Lonchura striata: one gene and its partner. The protein of the gene in region 1 purifies or fractionates together with the protein of each later gene. This does not show direct contact. Links are inferred from orthologs where the notes say so. Each region holds a gene or a part of one and is shown in the gene's direction. Other genes may lie near its edges. The genes, in order: RPL13A and RPL7L1.

Evidence for each region.
Region 2: the proteins of RPL13A (region 1) and RPL7L1 purify together in Homo sapiens (affinity purification with mass spectrometry; 3 studies listed by BioGRID and IntAct, with this or other methods). This does not show direct contact. The link is inferred for Lonchura striata from reciprocal best matches to the Homo sapiens genes RPL13A and RPL7L1.

The regions. Positions count from the first base shown.
Region 1 is NC_134640.1:2,920,948-2,930,005, reverse strand, and holds RPL13A (large ribosomal subunit protein uL13), read left to right. Parts: upstream 1-5,423; 5' UTR 5,424-5,472; coding exon 5,473-5,487; intron 5,488-5,698; coding exon 5,699-5,771; intron 5,772-5,839; exon of another isoform or gene 5,840-5,918; intron 5,919-5,989; coding exon 5,990-6,055; intron 6,056-6,476; coding exon 6,477-6,578; intron 6,579-6,807; coding exon 6,808-6,893; intron 6,894-7,143; exon of another isoform or gene 7,144-7,214; intron 7,215-7,304; coding exon 7,305-7,364; intron 7,365-7,903; coding exon 7,904-8,026; intron 8,027-8,624; coding exon 8,625-8,711; 3' UTR 8,712-8,758; downstream 8,759-9,058. Other genes in the region: SLC17A7 (vesicular glutamate transporter 1), read left to right, coding at 99-321, 642-760, 840-954, 1,580-1,667, 1,746-1,832, 2,099-2,238, 2,614-2,760, 2,936-3,068 and 3 more; DHDH (trans-1,2-dihydrobenzene-1,2-diol dehydrogenase), read right to left, coding at 8,947-9,058. UniProt on the Homo sapiens protein: Associated with ribosomes but is not required for canonical ribosome function and has extra-ribosomal functions.
Region 2 is NC_134606.1:70,021,586-70,030,949, reverse strand, and holds RPL7L1 (ribosomal protein uL30-like), read left to right. Parts: upstream 1-5,203; 5' UTR 5,204-5,244; coding exon 5,245-5,261; intron 5,262-5,409; coding exon 5,410-5,518; intron 5,519-6,811; coding exon 6,812-6,975; intron 6,976-7,138; coding exon 7,139-7,276; intron 7,277-7,516; coding exon 7,517-7,626; intron 7,627-7,795; coding exon 7,796-8,004; 3' UTR 8,005-8,008; intron 8,009-8,259; 3' UTR 8,260-8,878; downstream 8,879-9,364.

The DNA.
Region 1 (9,058 bases):
GAGAGAGGGAGGGGGGACATGAAGGGAGGACACGGGGGGTGGGGGAGGAAGGGACATGGGGGAACATGGTGGGGGGACATGGGGGGTGGCCCCCGCAGGTTCCTGGAGCGGCGGCAGGATGACCCTGAGGTTCTGGAGCTGAGCTCGGGGGGCGCGGGCCCGAGCGCGGCACGGCCGCCGGTGCTGGACTGCACCTTCTGTGGGCTGCCCCGGCGCTACGGCATCGCCATCCTCTGCGGCATCGGCTTCTGCATCAGCTTCGGCATCCGTTGCAACCTGGGCGTGGCCGTGGTCAGCATGGTCAACCCCAGCCACGGACAGGTATGGGTCAGCTGTGGGGTCAGGTATGGGGTCAGAGAGTGAGGAGCACTGAGAGGGTCAGCAGGTACAACCCTGCCCGCAGATAGGGGCCATTAGTAATTTCCAGATAAGTTTATTAATTAATTAGTTAACTAATTAACGGGTCTGGACAGGTAAAGGTGCAGTAGGGCCTGGGACAGGTGCGGGGTCACCGGGGATGGGGCACAACTCTGGGATACCTGCAGAACAAGGGACAGAGGTAGGTGTGGGGGTGCACACCTGGACAGGGCGTGTCCAGGCCGTGTCCCCCACCCCTCTGACCCCTCCTGGGCCTTCCCCAGCATGCCCAGTTCAACTGGGACCCTGAGACAGTGGGGATGATCCACGGCTCCTTCTTCTGGGGCTACATCGTCACGCAGATCCCTGGCGGATTCATCGCCCAGAAGTTCGCGGCCAACAGGTGAGCGCTGGCCTGGGGGGCGTGGCCGGCCCGCAGGTGAGCCCGGGGCGTGGCGGTCACCTGCGTGTCCCCTGGCCAGGGTGTTCGGGCTGGCCATCGTGTCCACCTCGGTGCTGAACATGCTGATCCCGTCAGCCGCGCGCACCCACGTCGGCTGCGTCATCGCCGTGCGCGTCATGCAGGGGCTGGTGGAGGTCAGCGCCGGGTTTTGTGGGCATTTCGGGCAGTTTTGGGTATTTGGGGTGGTTTGGGGCTGTTTTCATGTACGTACAAAAGAGCAGGAGCGGTTTTGGGGGATTTTGGGTGTCTCTGGGGTGTTTTGGGAAATTTTGTGTTGATTTTCGTGTGGTTTTAGGGTGGTTTTGGGCTGGTTTGGGGTGTTTTAGTGGTGTTTGTTTTGGGGTGGTTTTGGGGTGGTTTTGGAATATTTTTAAGGTGTTTTTGGGGTGTTTAGCAGTGTTTGTTTTAGAGTGGTTTTGGGGTGTTTTAGCGGTGTTTGTTTTGGGGTAGTTTGGGGTGTTTTTAAGGTGTTTTTGGGGTGTTTTTGGGGTGTTTCTGGGCGGATTTTGGTGTTCCACTGGTGAGGTTGGGGCGTGGCCATTTCCACGCTCCCAATGGCGGGGGCGTGGCCAGGGTTGGGTGTGTCCCTTGGTGTCCCTGGACCACGCCCATCAGGGTGTGGTAGGTGGGCGTGGCCCAGGTGGGCGTGGCCAGGGTTGGGTGTGTCCCTTGGTGTCCCTGGACCACGCCCATCAGGGTGTGGCAGGTGGGCGTGGCCCAGGTGGGCGTTGCCCGTGTTGACCCTGCCCCTTTCGGCAGGGCGTGACCTACCCCGCCTGTCACGGCATCTGGAGCAAGTGGGCGCCGCCCCTGGAGCGGAGCCGCCTGGCCACCACAGCTTTCTGCGGTACCGGGGGCTACCGGGGGGCTCAGGGGGGCTGCGGGGGCCCCCAGGGCGTCCCTGGTGACCGCCGTGCCCCGGCAGGCTCGTACGCCGGGGCGGTGGTGGCCATGCCGCTGGCCGGGGTCCTGGTGCAGTACACAGGCTGGAGCTCCGTGTTCTACGTCTACGGTGAGAGCCCCTGGGACCCTCCAGGACCCCTTGGGACCAGCAGGACCCTTATGGGACCCCCGGGACACCCCTGGGACCCCTGAAACCCCCGGGACCCTCACAGGACCACTGGGACCCCCTCGCAACCACCGAGACACCCCCAAGCCCCACAGGGACCCCCAGGATGCCCCCAGGACCCCTCCCATTGCCCCCAGTGACCTCTCCCAGTGCCCCTCCCAGTGCCCCCAGTGTTCCCAGTGCCCCTCCCAGTAACCCCAGCCCTCCAGGCAGTTTCGGGGTGTTCTGGTACCTGTTCTGGGTGCTGGTGTCCTACGAGAGCCCCGCGCAGCACCCGACGATCTCGGCCGAGGAGCGCAAGTACATCGAGGAGAGCATCGGCGAGAGTGCGGGCAGCAACCCGCTGCTGGTCAGACTGGGAGCACTGGGAATGGCACTGGGAGGGCTGGGAATGGCACTGGGAGTGTTCGGATGAGCACTGGGAGTACTGGGACAGACACTGGGAGTACTGGGACAGACACTGGGAGTCACTGGGATGGGCATGGCAGTCACTGGGAGCACTGGAGGGTCACTGGAAGCAGTGGGGTCACTGGGGGATCTCTGGGACCACTGGAAGGCCTCTGTGGCCACCACCCTTGGGGCCACCGTGGCCTCCAGCACGGTCCAGCTGCTCCATCCCATGGGAAGTGGGGCTGGAGCGGGGCCGGGGGTGGCATGGGGGTCACCGCCGCCGGTCAGTGGGTCAGTGGGGTCAGTGTGGTCAGTGGCCACTCCCCACCCGCAGCTGGCCACACCCTGGCGCCACTTCTTCACCTCGATGCCCGTCTACGCCATCATCGTGGCCAACTTCTGCCGCAGCTGGACCTTCTACCTGCTGCTCATCAGCCAGCCCGCCTACTTCGAGGAGGTCTTCGGCTTCGAGATCAGCAAGGTTGGGCCCAAAATCCCCACAAAACACTCCTAAAAACCCCACCAAAAAAAAAAAAATCTCAAAAACCCCACAGAAAACACTGCACAAAACACCCCAAAACCCACAGAAAGCCACACAAAAAAACCCAAAAAGCCCCAAAACTGCCCCAAACCGCCCCGAACCCCCGGCCCCGCAGGTGGGGCTGCTGTCGGCGCTGCCGCACCTGGTGATGACCATCGTGGTGCCCATCGGTGGCCAGATCGCCGACCTGCTGCGCTCGCGGGGGCTAATGTCCACCACCAACGTCCGCAAGATGATGAACTGCGGCGGTCAGCACGGGACAGGGGACACGGGGGGACAGCGGGGACACGGGACAGCGGGGACATGGACACGGGGGGACAGCGGGGACATGGGGGGGACATGGGGGGGACACAGGAAAGCGGGGACATGGTGGGGACAGCAGGGACACAGACAGAGGGGACACCGAGGGGACAGCGGGGACATGGAGGGGACACAGGACAGCAGGGACACAGGGGGGACATGGAAGGAACACGGACATGCAGGGGACACTGGGGACATGGAGGGGACAGTGGGGACACAGAGGGAACAGGGACACAAACACAGGGCAGCAGAGACACGGAGGGGACACTGGGGACATGGGGACATGGAGGAGACACAGAGGGAACGGGGGGACATGGAGGGGACAGTGGGGACAGCGCTGGGGGGACATGGAGACACGGAGGGGACAGAGGAGACAGAAGGGACATGGGCACTGAGGGGACACAGAGGGGACAGCGGGTGACAGCCGGTGGTAGAGGGGACAGCAGGTGACGGCGTTCCCCTTGCAGGGTTCGGCATGGAGGCCACGCTGCTGCTGGTGGTGGGCTACTCGCACTCGCGGGCTGTGGCCATCTCCTTCCTGGTGCTGGCCGTGGGCTTCAGCGGCTTCGCCATCTCCGGTGGGGACAGCGGGACTGGGGGGTTTTGTGTGAGATTTTGGGGTGTTTTGTGGGGTTTTTTTGGAGTGTTTTGTGTGGGGTATTGGGGTTGTTTTTATGTGGGTTTTCTGTGGGTTTTGGGGGTTTTTGTGGGGGTTTTTTTGGGGTGTTTTGTGGGTTTTTTGGGGTGTTCTGTGGTTTTTTCCTGGGGGTTTCTCGGGGTGGGGGAAACACCGGTGACACACAGGTGATACCCCTGTGTCCCCTCCCCATGTCAGGGTTCAACGTGAACCACCTGGACATCGCGCCGCGCTACGCCAGCGTGCTGATGGGGCTGTCCAACGGTGTGGGGACCCTGTCGGGCATGGTGTGTCCCCTCATCGTGGGGGCACTGACGCGCCACAAGGTGCGGGGACAGCAGGGGACAACACGAGGGCAGGAGGGACAGAGGGACATAGAGGGAGAGAGGGACACGGGGGGACAGAGGGACATGGGGGACAGAGGGACATGGAGGACAGAGGGACACGGAGGGATGGAGGGACATGGGGGACAGAGGGACATGGGGGAAAATGGGACATGGGGACAGAGGGACACAGAGGGACATGGGGGGGACGGAGGGACATGGGGGGACAGAGGGACACCGGGGGATGGAGGGACGTGGGGGGACAATGGGACAGGGGGGAGACAGATGGACATGGAGGACAGAGGGACATGGTCCGAGGCACACAGGGGACAATGGCACCTGGGGGGACACCACGGGACCGGAGGGGACCTCGGAATTTTGGGGGTCGCTCCGGCCGCCTGTCACTCACTGTGTGCTCGGCCCCGCCCACTCGCCTTGGCCCCGCCCTTCCCTTGGCCGCGCCTCTTTCCCGCGCTCCGCACTGGCCACGCCCCCTCCCCATTCGTGTCCCCGCCCTGCTGTGACGCGTCGGGCGCTGATTGGCGCAGACGCGCGAGGAGTGGCAGTGGGTGTTCCTGATCGCTGCGCTCGTGCACTACGGGGGCGTGGCCTTCTACGGCGCCTTCGCCTCGGGGGAGCCGCAGCCGTGGGCGGAGCCGCCGCGCGAGGAGGCGGAGCCGCTGGCGCCGGCCGGCGAGGACGACGAGGAGGAGGAGGAGGAGGAAGGAGGAGTGGGACCCCCGGGACCCCCGGGAGGGCCCCCCGCCAGCTACGGCGCCACCGGCACCACCCCGGCTCCCGGGACCCCGCACGAGTGACGCGGGGCGCCCGCAGGGATGCGCTCCGAAGAGGCGACCCCACCCCCCTTCCATCCCCGAGAGCCCCGGGATCCAACGGGGACCCCCGGTCCGAGCCCCCCGAGAGCCCTGAGACCCCCGGGAGCCACCGGGGAACCCCGGTCCGAGTCCCTGAGAGCCCCGAGAACCCCAGGAGCGACCGGGGACCCCCGGTGCGAGAGCCCCGAGAGCCGGGGCCCCTCCGCTGTACATATATAAATACAAGGAGCGACCGCTGGAGAGCCTGGAGTGCTGTACTGGGGACACTGGGAGGGATTCGGATGGTTACTGGGGGCACTGGGAGGGACTGCAGGTACTGGGCGGGGAACTGGGGCAGCACTGGGAGGCCGGGGAGCGGGTCCTGCGCGTACTGGGAGCACCGGGAGGGACTGGGGGCACCGGGGGCGTTCCCGCCCCACTTCCGCCCTCAGTGGCGCATCCCGGCGCGGCTTCGCGCCCTCTTCGCGTCGTGGCGTCACTTCCGCCCGCCGCTGTCCCCGACGGAAGCGGCGACCCCGCGTGGGGGGCGGGGCCTCTTTGCGAGCGGGCGGCGGCCATGGCGGAGCCGCGGGTGCGGCGCGGCGGCACGGGGGCGGCACGGGGCGGGAGGGGCGCCCGGCCGGGCTCCGCGGGGCTCTGGGATGGGGCCGGGCGCTGCGGGGGGCTGCGGGGAGCGGCGGGCGGGCGGCGGGGGGAGCGCGGGGCGCGGCCACGTGGCGGCCCCGCGGTGCGGCCCGGCCCCGGTGGCGGCGGGGCCTCACCCGGTGCCGCCCGCGCCGCAGGTTCTGGTGATCGACGGGCGCGGGCACCTCCTGGGCCGGCTGGCGGCGATCGTGGCCAAGCAGGTGCTGCTGGGTGAGTGCGGGAGCCTTTCCCGGGGCACACCGGGGGAATCCCGGGACAATCCCGGGGCACCGGGCCCCCCGCGCCGTGATGAGCGCTGTCGGCTGTCGAGTTTAACGACAATGAGAGCTGCCTCCATGCACTACCAGCTGAGCGCGGGGGCACCGGGGGATACTGGGGGTACCGGGGGCACCGGGCTGGGCTGACCGGGCCCGCCGCGCTCTCCGCAGGCCGCCGCGTGGTCGTGGTTCGCTGCGAGGGCATCAACATCTCTGGGAACTTCTACCGCAACAAGCGTGAGTGGCCCGGGGGTCCCGGGTTCGGGAGAAATCCCGGGTTCGGGAGAAATCCCGGGAATGGAAGGAGATCCCGGATTTTGAGGGCAGTGCCAGGTTTTGGGGACAGTCCCGGGTTTTGGGGACAATCCCGGGTTTTGGGGACAATCCCGGGTTTTAGGGTCGGTCCCGCCGTTCCTGAGTCACGCAGAAGTTTCCAGAAGGTTCTCGGTGCACCCCCAGCCCCCATTTTGGGGGATTTTCGCATTCCCCAAATCCCATTTAGGGAATTCACTCTGTTTGCCCACCCCAGTGAAGTTTTTGGGGGGATTTCCCCCTGTTTCCCCATCCTGGCACTCCCCAGTTCCCAAAGTGCCATTTCGGAGGGATTTTGTCCCGTTTTCTGCCGTTCCTGAGGGATTTTGCCCCGTTTTCCCCGCAGTGAAGTTCCTGGCATTCCTGAGGAAGAGGATGAACACCAACCCCTCGCGGGGCCCTTTCCACTTCCGAGCTCCCAGTCGGATCTTCTGGCGCACGGTCCGAGGTGAAAACTCCGCTTTTTTTCTGATTTTATTTCCTTTTTCCCTGATTCTCCTTTTTTTTTCCCGTTTTTTTTCTTTTTCTCTGACTCTCTTTTTTTTTTTTTTTGGTTTTTTCCTCTTTTTTTCCTTTTTCTCTGATTATCCCAAAATCAGCCCTGGGAATTGCCCTAATCCCAGTGCTTTCACCCCAAATCCAAGGATGCTAAATCTGTGTTTTCACCCCAAATTCAGGGATGCTGCCCCACAAAACCAAGCGGGGCCAGGCGGCCCTGGAGCGGCTCAAGGTGTTCGATGGTATCCCCCCGCCCTACGACAAGGTGGGAAAACCCCAAACCCCCAAATCTTACCCAAAATTCTCCCTCCAAAACCCCCCGAATTGCCACTCCAGAAATCCCCAAGTCATTCCCAAATTCCCTCTCTGGAGCCCTCCAAATTTCCACTGCCAAAACCCTGAAATCTTCCCCAAAATTCCCTCTCTAAAATCCCCCAAATGTCCTTCAAATTCCCCCTCCAGAACTCCCCAAATTTCCCCCCCAAATCTCCCTAAAATCCCCCCAAAATGAGCCGTGGTGTCAGTGATGTCATTTTTACCTACATTGTTCGATTTCTGCTGAGAAAAAAACAAATCTGAGACACCTGGAGCCCCGCCCACCCCTGGGACCTGCCCAATAAAACCCCAAAAACCTTAAAAAAACCCCCAAAAATCCCGAAATTCCTGGGTTTTCCAGAGGAAGCGGATGGTGGTGCCGGCTGCCCTCAAAATCATCCGCCTCAAACCCACGCGCAAGGTGGGTGCGGGAGGGGGTTTGGGGGGTTTTTAGGAGTTTTTGGGATTTTGGGAGTTTTATGGGATTGTTGTGTGGATTTTACAGCGTTTTAGGCAGTTTTATGAGGGTTTTTTAATGGATTTTTTTAGGAGTCTATGGGATTTTAGGGAGCTTTATATGGTTTTTTAGGGGTTGTATGGGATTTTAATGGGGGTAGTGGGATTTTTGGGGGGTTTCATGAGGGTTTTTAAGAAGTTTAAGGGATTTTAGGGGGTTTTCTGGGACTTTTTTAGGGGGTTTATGGGATTTTAAGGGTTTTATGGGATTTCGGTGGAGAATTAGGGAGATTTGGGTGAGTTTTGTGGTATTTTGGGCAGTTCTGGGTGGTTTTATGGGATTGGGCCAGGTTTTATGGGATTTGGGTGGTTTTATGGGGTTTTGGTGGGGTTTTATGGGATTTGGGCTGGTTTTATGGGGTTTTGGTGGGGTTTTATAGGATTGGGGGTGGTTTTATGGGATTTGGGGGGGTTTTGGGGTTCTGAGCCCCCCGTGCCTCCCAGTTTGCCGTTCTGGGCCGGCTGGCACACGAGGTGGGCTGGAAGTACCGGGACGTGACCGAGGCCCTGGAGGAGAAGCGGAAGGAGAAGGCCAAGCTCCGCTACAACAAGAAGAGGAAGATGATGGTGAGGAAAACGGGGAAAACGCCCCAAAATCCCTCGGGAGGACACCCAAATCGGGGGGAGGGTCCAGAGCCAGGCAGGGAGAACCCCCCAGGATTTGGGATTGGGATTTCAAAATGCTGGCAGGGGTGGGAAAGTCCAGAAAAACAGCGGAAAAGCCCTAAAACCAGGTAAAAATCCTAAAGCCAGGTAAAAGAGTCCTAAAAGGAGGTAAAAGCCTCAAACCAGGGGCAAGACCTGAATTCCATTGGAATTCAGGGTGGGGGGAATTGGGGTCAAATCGAGTCTCCCTTTTTTTTCCTTGTTTTGTCCTTTTCCCATTATTACCTCATTTTTCTCCTGTTTTTTTTTTTTCCTTTTTCTCTGATTTTTACGTGTTTTTTCCTGGCTTTTTTCCCTTTTCCCTGATTTTCCCTTTTTTTTTTCCCCACTCTTTCCTGTTTTTTCCCTTTTCCCCGATTCTCCCGTTTTTTTCTGGTTTTTTTTCTTTTCCCCTGATTCTCACATTTTTTGCTTGTTTTTTTCCACGTTTTTTACCCAATTCTCATGGTTTTTTCCATCTTTTTCCCCTTTTTCCTGATTCTCCCGTTTTTGGCCCCAGAGCCTGCGGCGCCGGGCCGAGCGCAGCGCGGAGAAGAAAGCGGCGCCGTTCACGGCGGTGCTGCGGCAGCACGGGATCCTGCTGTAACCAACCCAAAAGGGGCTGTAATAAACCCAAACTGGGATACACTGGCAGTGGCCGGCCACTGTTTTGGGGTGGTTTCAGAGATTTTGGCGATTTTATTAAACCATGGGCACGCAGCGCCGGAGCTGCTGCGGTCACTCCGGGGTCACTCAGGAGGGTTAGGGGTCACTTGGGAGGGTGGCTGGTCACTCCGGGCAGTCAGTGGTCACTCGGGAGAGTCAGTGGCCGCTCCGGGTGGTCAGTGGTCACTCGGGAGAGTCAGTGGCCGCTCCGGGTGGTCAGTGGTCACTCCAGAGGGTGGCTGGTCACTCAGGAGGGTCAGTGGCTGCTCCGGGTGGTCAGTGGTCACT
Region 2 (9,364 bases), on another chromosome or scaffold:
AAAGACTGTGAAAACACCTGAAATAAAAGCACCAGGGGTATACACAAAGTAGGTCAGGTTCTTCTCTCTGCTGCAGATTTAAGAGCCTTCTATTCTTTGATAAAACCTACCTGCCTAATTAGCTCTGCCTCGTCACCAACTCTTAGAGTAGGCAGTGCCTTGACAAAATTGGTTTAAAGAAAAAAAAATAGCATATGTTTTCCAGCATTTTTCAGCTACAACTTCAGTGTGTCATATGCCAAGGTGGGAGATGCTGTTTTGAGAATTAAGAGTTTGACAATTATTTGATTATTTTGATAATTAACATTTGTTTGAAGCATACCTGCATCCGAGTGATTTCTTTCACTATTGGGTTTGTGTACTGACAGAAAGAAGCTTACTCTTACTGTTAAAAAGTAGGAAAAAAAGATGATGACTCTTCTACTTTTTCTATACAATACATCAAAAATAATTTACAGTATAATTAATATGTGAATAGAAAATTTGAACTAGCAAGACAGGCTTGTTATCCTGCTGACTGGTTTAGAAACAGGACCTGTTTTTTCTTCAGGAGCTCTTCCTAAGGATGTCTCTTGGGTCAGAAACTATCTCAGAAGTGAGAACACAGCATCTGATATAGAAATGCCTTGATTCCACCAGGGGTTATGGAAAACTCTCAGGGAAGAACCAAGTCTTGCTGAGCACAGCACAGAGGAGCAGCACAGTTTCTTTGGATTCCTGTGGTTTATTCGTGTTGAGGCATTCCCCTCATCTCATCCCCCTTTTTTCCAGGTGATGGAGTGCCCCTGCAGTCTCAGTCTGCCAGCTGATGGATCACTGTTACAGCTGGACAATGATGCTCCAAGCTGCTGGAACCAAGCAGCTGGGCTTTGCTTGCTGTGGTCCGGGCAGTGCTACCTGGAGCTACACAGATATTGATTCCTTTCTCACTTTTTCCACCTCTCCTCAGCTTTTTGGCAAATTTGCCTCATCCTTCTCGCTTTTAGACAGTGCTGATAATAGATCACTGCAGGAACAGGATTCATTTATCCAAAGCTCTTTAAAGACTGGAAAGGGTGGACTTCAAAGGCAGGAAAATGGGACACGGTGCAGCTGAGCAGGGAAGGGCATGCATTCAGATTAAATGAGCCCTTCTGTATGCAGGCAAAGAAACTGATTTCTGTCTGCCTTTTCTAATGCTGGGCTATAATAGCAAGGGCAAATATAAAATGGGATCTATTTCATTTGAATGGAAAATTTAGAGCTGAGCTAGCAGAAAGGCCACATCCACTGGGGGCAGGGGAGGTGGGCAGGAACACACGGCTGGAATGTGTAACTCCTCTGGTGGCTAAGAGGTCTGGGTCTTCAATCCAAGTTCATGTGCTGAAAAACCCAAATTATTACCTGTGAACCTGCCTCCTGCTGCCTTCATCGGAGGTTCCCTTTTTGTGCTGAAAGAGGAATCCCAGAATTTATCATTTTACTGACTGTTTTATCTTCCCTCAAGCACCTTTCTCCCAGCTGGCAGGTCCAGTCTATATAACTGCTCCACAGATGGAAACTATTCCCTGTGTTTGATCTTCTTTCTCTGAATCTTTTCCAAGTCTGTCTTGGGGGAAGGTGGGTGGAGGTATGAGATGGACAGATGGAAGAAAGATGACCGACCAAAGCTGGAGCATTCAAAATGCGGGTGTGAGAGGCTATGCTGTGGAATCAGTTTTTGCTTTGTTCCTTACCCCTTCTCTAATAATTTTCAATTACTGTTCAGTTGTCCTAAGCATTAAGCTGATATTTTTATCTATCTCTAATAGTTCCAAAATCCTACTCCCAATCTTATTATCTTACCTTGAACCCATCATTTCATAGAAAAATTTGTGAAACATTGCTGCACTTTTATTTACTGATTTTTATCTGCTGTTTCACTGCTTAGCACTCAGACTTATAACATCTGCTGTGCCATGAGGAGAACCCTGCAACTACCTCCTCCCTTCCTTTGTTTCTGCTGTGTGTAGGGACACAGCCTCTTTCTTGGGAAAAAGCTACAGGTGACCACTTACATCCCTCCTACTCCTTCTCTCTGTGTTTTTCTGCCTGGTGTTTTCTGGCCAAATACTGACGCTCTGTAGCTTTATCTGGGCAGTTGTCACCAATAATTGCAGACAAACTCAAATATTCCAATCAGAACTTTCCCTGCATAAATTAACAGGAAAAAAAGTGAGAGGACCTTTATAGCCCTATTGCACTGTCAGCACTCAGGGCCACACCTTCCTTCAGGGCTCAGCCTGTGAAACTGCTGTGATTTTATATTAATTACTGCAGGTCACTTCTCACTTATGATGTCTTAATCCTTTTCTGATTCCTGTTTCTGTTGAAACAACTGCTGCCTGTTTCTTCCCTAGTCTCCCAAACTGAACTTGCAAAAGAATATTACATAGTTGTGTCAGTAACCAGAGCCATAAAATAAAAATAATTAAATGCTTATTTTTAAAGAAAAATAGATTAAAAGTTATCGTCCACTACCCAACACCTTTGTAGGAGAACCACTGAGGTTTAGAACAGAGAGCATTATCTGTCTATGCAAAGCATCTCCTATTGAGTTGTCTACACTGACATGATAAACTTCCTAATTAGGCTATTCCATTCCATCTCTTTTTATGGCTCCCCAGTCTGTAGTATTTTTATGAATAGTTTATGCTGTGGTGTACTTATTAATATGCTTCCACAACCTAAATGGCATAATTATCTTGAAGGTTCAATTAAAAAGTAGGAGGTAGGATTCCCAATTACTGAGTGTGGGAAAGACTCCTATTCTGTTCTCACTGTCTTTCATCTCAGACATAATTGATCTTTCTCCCAAATACAATGCAGCTTTTTGTCCCTGTGGAAGAAGGAGAGAGGTCATGGAGACCTGTGGAGACTACATATAATAATGTCTATTTTTATCTCCACTGTTCTTTAAAGATACAATTAAATTTGTTGTACACTCAAATTGCAGCCACCATGTACACTCTCTTATAGACAAAGCAGAGAAATAAATTATTTTCATTGCTGTTTATTGCAATCGAAAAACAATTTTTCTATTTTGGGGTCATTAGCCAGGCCTTTACAAGTGCATTAGAAGTAAAACAAAATCAATTTACATTTTAATTCTTACAATTGTTTCACTTTGGAAACTTGTAAATAGGTAACACCACTCTTTCAGAATATGTCAGAACATTCTGACAGATATAAATCTGTAATTTAATATTTGTAACTTAAAACTTCAGATAACATTTCCAGGGACAATAATTGAAAATTGTGCCAGGGCTTTATTAGTAGTCTGATTTTCTTCTAGGGAATTATTCACAACAGTTACTGTAAAAATGAGCTTTTGAAACTGGAATATTTTCCATTGTTGCTGATAAATTAGTGGCACTAAAGAATGAATTGTTTTGCCCCATTCAATTTTTTTTCTAGGGAGACACAAAGACAAGTTTTATGTTTTAGCCTTTTCAATTTGACGTATTAGGTGCCGCTAACTGAGGGGACCCATCTATGTTAGTCTCATACCCACATTGCTCCTTTTGTAGTGAATTTGCAGGATTACTGACAAAAAGGCCCATCTTAAGGAAGCTTATTTTGAAAATAATAAACCCATGCATCTATCTACAGTGTTTCTAAAAATATTTTAATGAAATTTTAGTCCATCTCTATATGATTGCTGTTTCCATGAAAGAAAGTCTTGGATCACCCAACTTTTCTCTCTATTAATTATTGGTTAGAGTGTGTGCATGGAGTAATTTCCAGACATCTGTCCTAATTGTATAAACTTTTCCCTTAAAAGATCTGAAAATAGGCATAATTTAAAATCTCAAGGTACTTTCCTTATTAAAATATTCTCAGGATTAGATCATTGGTAAAATAAACAAAATTTAATTTCTTTGGCTCTTTTTATAAAGAATTTATTACAAACAGATTTCAGACTAGGGCATAGTTCAATGATGAAAGTGATAGACCTAAAGCCCTCTTGCTGTTTCGAGACTGCATACAGCATCAATAAAGGTTTTGTGGGATTTGGAATTAATTTAATGGAGTTTTATACCCATGGAATGAGAAAATAAGTCAAGAAGTTCCATGGACCTCTGACATCCCATCTCATCTCCTGACTTGGCTTTTGGAATTGGAGCCCTAAAATTTTGTGTGTGGGAATTCAGAGTGCTGAAGGCCAGTGTACAGCAGGTTGCTGTCTAGGAAAGTGGGAACACTTTTCTTGGGTATCCCTGCAAACAGGGACATTTGAATATCCATTCATTAAAACAATATAACTGCTGGTTGAAGTTCAGCAAATCAGCCTCGGAATGCTGCTGTGCTGGGAGACTTTTCAACAGCAACAGCACTTCAAATATTTACTTACTTATTGCTTCCTGGCCATTAATGGTGGAATACCCAAGAGCCTGTTTGCATTTCCCTCCTGTTCAACAAAGCACACTCATTTGTAGATTTAAATGGGCCACTTTCTCTGTTGTGAACTACGAGGGATTCCAGCTATTTTTGTAAGTCAGGGTGAAAATTGTGTAGTTATGGGAAAAGTTTCAGATTATTTATTTCCTAAGCTTGTTGCTTTGTGTGTCATATGCAAAAAAAAAAAAAAAAAAAAAAAAAAAAAAAAAAAAAAAAAGAATGCATATGAGAGCTGGGTTTGATCACCGACGGCTTGTTCTTCCTGGCATTTGGGATCGAGTTGCTAAATACGGATTTTCATGTTTTAGGTGTCAAAACAGAAGCGGGCTCATTTAGAGTGTTGTAAAGGTTTGCAGCATCACCAAGGTGAGCAGCGAAACCCTGGCACGACCGAACCTCCCGGCAAGGCTGGAGCTCCTCACCGGTGAGAGGACACTACGGTCAGTGGAAATGAGAAGGATTTCGGGCTGTAAGGTCCCGCATCCCGCACGGCACACCAGGAACACATCTCCACCAGCACCCAGCCGAGAGCGCGGCTCTGGCACCACCTGCGGGTGACGCGCCGGTCACACCGCGCGTCTCCCGGGCCCGCCGCCTGTGGCTGCCGGGCGAGCGCAGGGCCGGCAGCGCCGCCATCCCGCTCCATCCCGCTCCATCCCGCTCCATCCCGCTCCATCCCGCTCCATCCCGCTCCATCCCGCTCCATCCCGCTCCATCCCGCTCCATCCCGCTCCCGGCACTCCGCGATCCCGGGCCGGCGAGCGGCTCCCGAGGGGCAGCGGCCATGGCCCCGCCCCCGCGCATGCGCGGCAGCAGCGCGGCAACATGGCGGAGCTGGAGGAGTGAGTGCGGCGTAGGGGGAAGAGTGGAGGGCATGCGGGATCCGCCGCCATCCGCGGGCTGGGGGCGGCCACGGAGCCGGCCCGGGAAGGGGCGGGATGCGGGAATGCGGGATGGGGCCGGGATGTGACCGGGTTGTCCCGCCCGCAGGCCGAAGCGGCGGATCCCGCTGGTGCCGGAGAACTTGCTGAAGAAGAGGAAGGCGTACCTGGCCATCAAGGCCACCCAGGCCAAGCAGGCGCTGCTCAACAAACGCAAGGTACGGCGGGTCCCGGCAGAGCCTGGGCCTGCAGCTCCAGCTCCCCCTCCGGAGAAGGGAACCGCAATTCCTTGAAATTCCTGGGAAATGACCCGAGTGGTCGGGCCCCTCAGAGCGCCGCGGGATTCCGGGGTTCCGAGGGGGACTTGAGTCCCTCAACATCTTCTCCTTTGAGCCTTGTAAAGCGGACAGAATTGTACCGGTTATTACACCGAAACAGAAATATATAGAAGACTGTGAGTTGTTCCTGTTGGATCAGTGGTGGTCAGGTATTTGCAGTCACATGTGGGAAACTGCAGCGCTATCTCTGCTGCCCTGGGATTTCACTGCCTGAAACCACCTTTGTGTTGAAACCCTGCATGGAAGCCGTCCTTTTCTGAGGGCGGCTTTAGAGTTTTCTGTTAGAGCAGCACTGGTCATGATGAAGCCTTTTTCTGCGAGTGGGGTGACACATGTCCTACACCCTGTGCACATCGTGCCATTTCCAGACTAGCAGAGTACAGCAAACCTTTCTAATTCCAAATCTGAGACTTGTTGTGCTGTGTCACAGCTAATACAATAGGTGTCTGTCTTAAAGATTTCCAGTGAATCTTGTGGGATGTGCAAAACTCCTGCCATTTTTGTTTGATACCATGTTTACATTTTTAAAAGCATCAGTGGTTTGCTGTATTTCCAAGGTGGGAGCATAAGCAGTAATATTACATAGCCACTCCTTAAGATTCTCATTAAAAAGGATCTTAGTGATGAGACTTTTATTAGGTCTCCATGCTTTGAAAATTCAAACGAATTTAATGGGTTATTTACAAGGTGAAATAGAACAGAAGACACACAACATTAGATTCTTTAAAGTGGCCAGGTAATTTAACCAGTAGAGTATCTTAAATATCATTGTGTAATGCTGTGCATTTTCAAGTCCTGTTTGTATGAGAAAACACTATGAGTGTTGGTGGATGTACTCATTCCTAAGGTAAAGAGAGACATTTAAATATCTGTTGCCCACATGCCGTTTCTGGCTTTCCCAGCCATTGCTGAGCTCTGTCTGTAGCTATGCCTAGAAGTATCCCAGGTCTTTTCCTTAACTTATACTTTTCCTAGGGAAAAACTCTTTGTTCACTGTTCATAAATAATAGTTGTGTATAAATTCATGTTGTCCCTCAGTTCTGTCTCCCTTGGGCTTAGATAATCAAATTTATTTTTTTACTGCTTCCAAAGCTGTAAGGACATTGTTCACTACTTTGCATTTCATTTGGCCTTTCAGATGCAAACCTCACTTTGTTTTCCTTTTGTCTGCAGCAGCAGAAGGGGAAACAGATCCAGTTCAGGCGCCTGGAGACCTTTGTTCGGGATTCATGGCGCAAACGCCGGGATGACACCCGGCTGAGGCGCATGGAGCAGAGGCCTGGGCAGGCAGTGGCACCTCAGGAGAGCAAGCTGGCCTTCGTCGTGAGGATTGTGGAGTAAGAGCCTTCCCCTACTCCTTCCATTGTTGCTACCCGTTGTTGTGTCGTTTCCATACCAAGGCAGTGGGATCAACCTAGACATGTCTCCTTGCAGGTGATCTGAGGCCTTTAGTTGCTGTATTAGAAAAATGTGGTTACTAATAAATTCTGTTTTCCTCAGTATTAAGGGAGTGACTAAGAGGGTGAAAAGAGTGATTGAGTTGCTGCGGCTGAGGAAGAATTATACCGGGGTATTTGTGAAGCTGAGCCCACTGTCGCTGAAGATGCTGCGCATCGTGGAGCCTTATGTGGCGTGGGGGTACGTGCCCCTCCTGTGACTTGGGGGTCATTGGATTCTCCAGTTGCTATCACAGATCCATTACTTCTCCAATCATGGTCAAAACTTAATCAACTTTGTATTAAAAACTTGCTATTTTCTTTGTTCTGATTGTTCTTGACATAACTTGTGTACTTTCCCACCTCTGCACAAGGAAGTGGTATGGGTGTCCCTCTGCATCATGTCTCTCTGTTACAGGATCTGATTTTTGTTTCTGCACAGACAGCCTAACCTGAAATCTGTACGAGAGCTCATCCTGAAACGGGGCCAAGCCAAGATCAAGAAAAAGAAGGTGCCTCTGACAGACAACATGCTGATAGAGGAACATTTAGGTGAGGAAGAGGGTGAGAAAATTGAGGAAAGGGTTAGGTGTTGAGAGTTTACAGTCTGGCCTGAAAGGGTGGGGACAGACAAAATCTTGTCAAACTGGAGGACTGGCAGTTCTGGAGCAGTGTGAGGAAAGATTATACAGCTGGACATCTTTTTTTTTCCCTCATACAGGGGGCTGTAATATCATTTGCCTGGAAGACCTTATTCATGAAATCTACTCAACTGGGAAGTATTTCAAAAGAGTAACCAGCTTTCTGTGGCCGTTCCACCTGTCAGTGGCTCGCCACGCATCACGGAACAGAGTGGGTTTCCTCAAGGAGATGGGCAAGCCTGGCTACAGAGGTGATGCAATCAACCAGCTCATCCGTCAGCTCAACTAGTCAGGTGAGCAGTGCCTGCTGGGTTAGTTCTGAAGCTTACCCTTCATTCCCTGTCCTAAGGACAACCAGACTGCCATTGAAGATGAATGGGGTGCTCACTTGGTTTTGTCACTCTGCAAAACTGACCTCAGAGTAGGAGAAACTAATCAAGAGTGATCCCTTTAGGATCAGCACATGCAGTTGGACACCTCCATGAAGGCTTGGCTCCTGGGAGATAATATGACTTTATTTTATATTTTCTTCCCTATTCTGCAGGGATTTTGTGAAAACTGGGATCTATGACCTGTTCCTTTTCACATGTACCTTTTGTGGACATTATCTACATGCAGTGATCTGTATGCAACTTCTCTTGATTGCTGGTGCCTCTATAAAAGAAGAAACACAAAGATGATGATGGAGATGGACTTTGGGCTGGCCCTTCTTAAAGAAGATAAATTCTCTTTGGTACAAGAATGAGCTTCTTGGAGCAATTTCACATTTGCATCTCTGTAAAATAAGTGTTTTTTATGCACACTACTACAGACTTCACTCTTTGATGTGCTTCTGGGGGTGAAAGGGGTAGTGCAGTCACAATTGTGCTGATAGGCAAAAGAAAAAAAAGAAAACACCATGCTCTGTTACTGCAGCACAAGCCCTAGCCGTGAATAATGTCACTTGTTAAGTACCTGGATTGTATTTATTTTTTAAAAATTAAGGGTTTGTGGTCCTGATTTAAAGAGCTTTTTTTTTTTTTTGCCTTTTTTTTTTTTTTTTTTCTTTTGCTGTATTGGGACTGCTGGGGAGAAGTATTTCCTGGAAATAAGAAAATGCAAGAAATACAGTCCTGGGATAGGGTATATGTAATCTGTGTTTTTTAAATAAAATTCTGAAATTATATTATTATAACAGAAAGTTCTGCATCACTGTAAAAGAGTGGAAAAACCAGTTAAACACTCTGGCTGGAATGAATTTAGTGAAGGAAGTGAACAAAACCATGTAAGTCTGAAAGTTCCAGAGATTTAAATCCCTAATTTCTTCCACTACAGAAATGGTAAGAACACATGAAAGAGTCCAGTGCTGTTTAACAAATATGGAAGGCAGTGTCATTAGTTCACTGTGACTGTTTAAACTGTTGCTTGAAAACTTAGGTGGGAGCAAAGTGTTAATCCATTAATGGATTTCATACAGAGTCCACACCACATGGAGACTCAGGAAGGAAACAGTTAAGTAACAAGGAGGATGTCTTGGGTGTTGCTTGTGTGACAGTTATAAACTAGAATGTAGCATTCATGGAACCATCTGAAGTACCAAGAACTGTAGACTCTCAATTAGAGAACATAAAACCCGAAGCTTTATTCTGTAACCAAGAATAGAAACATAG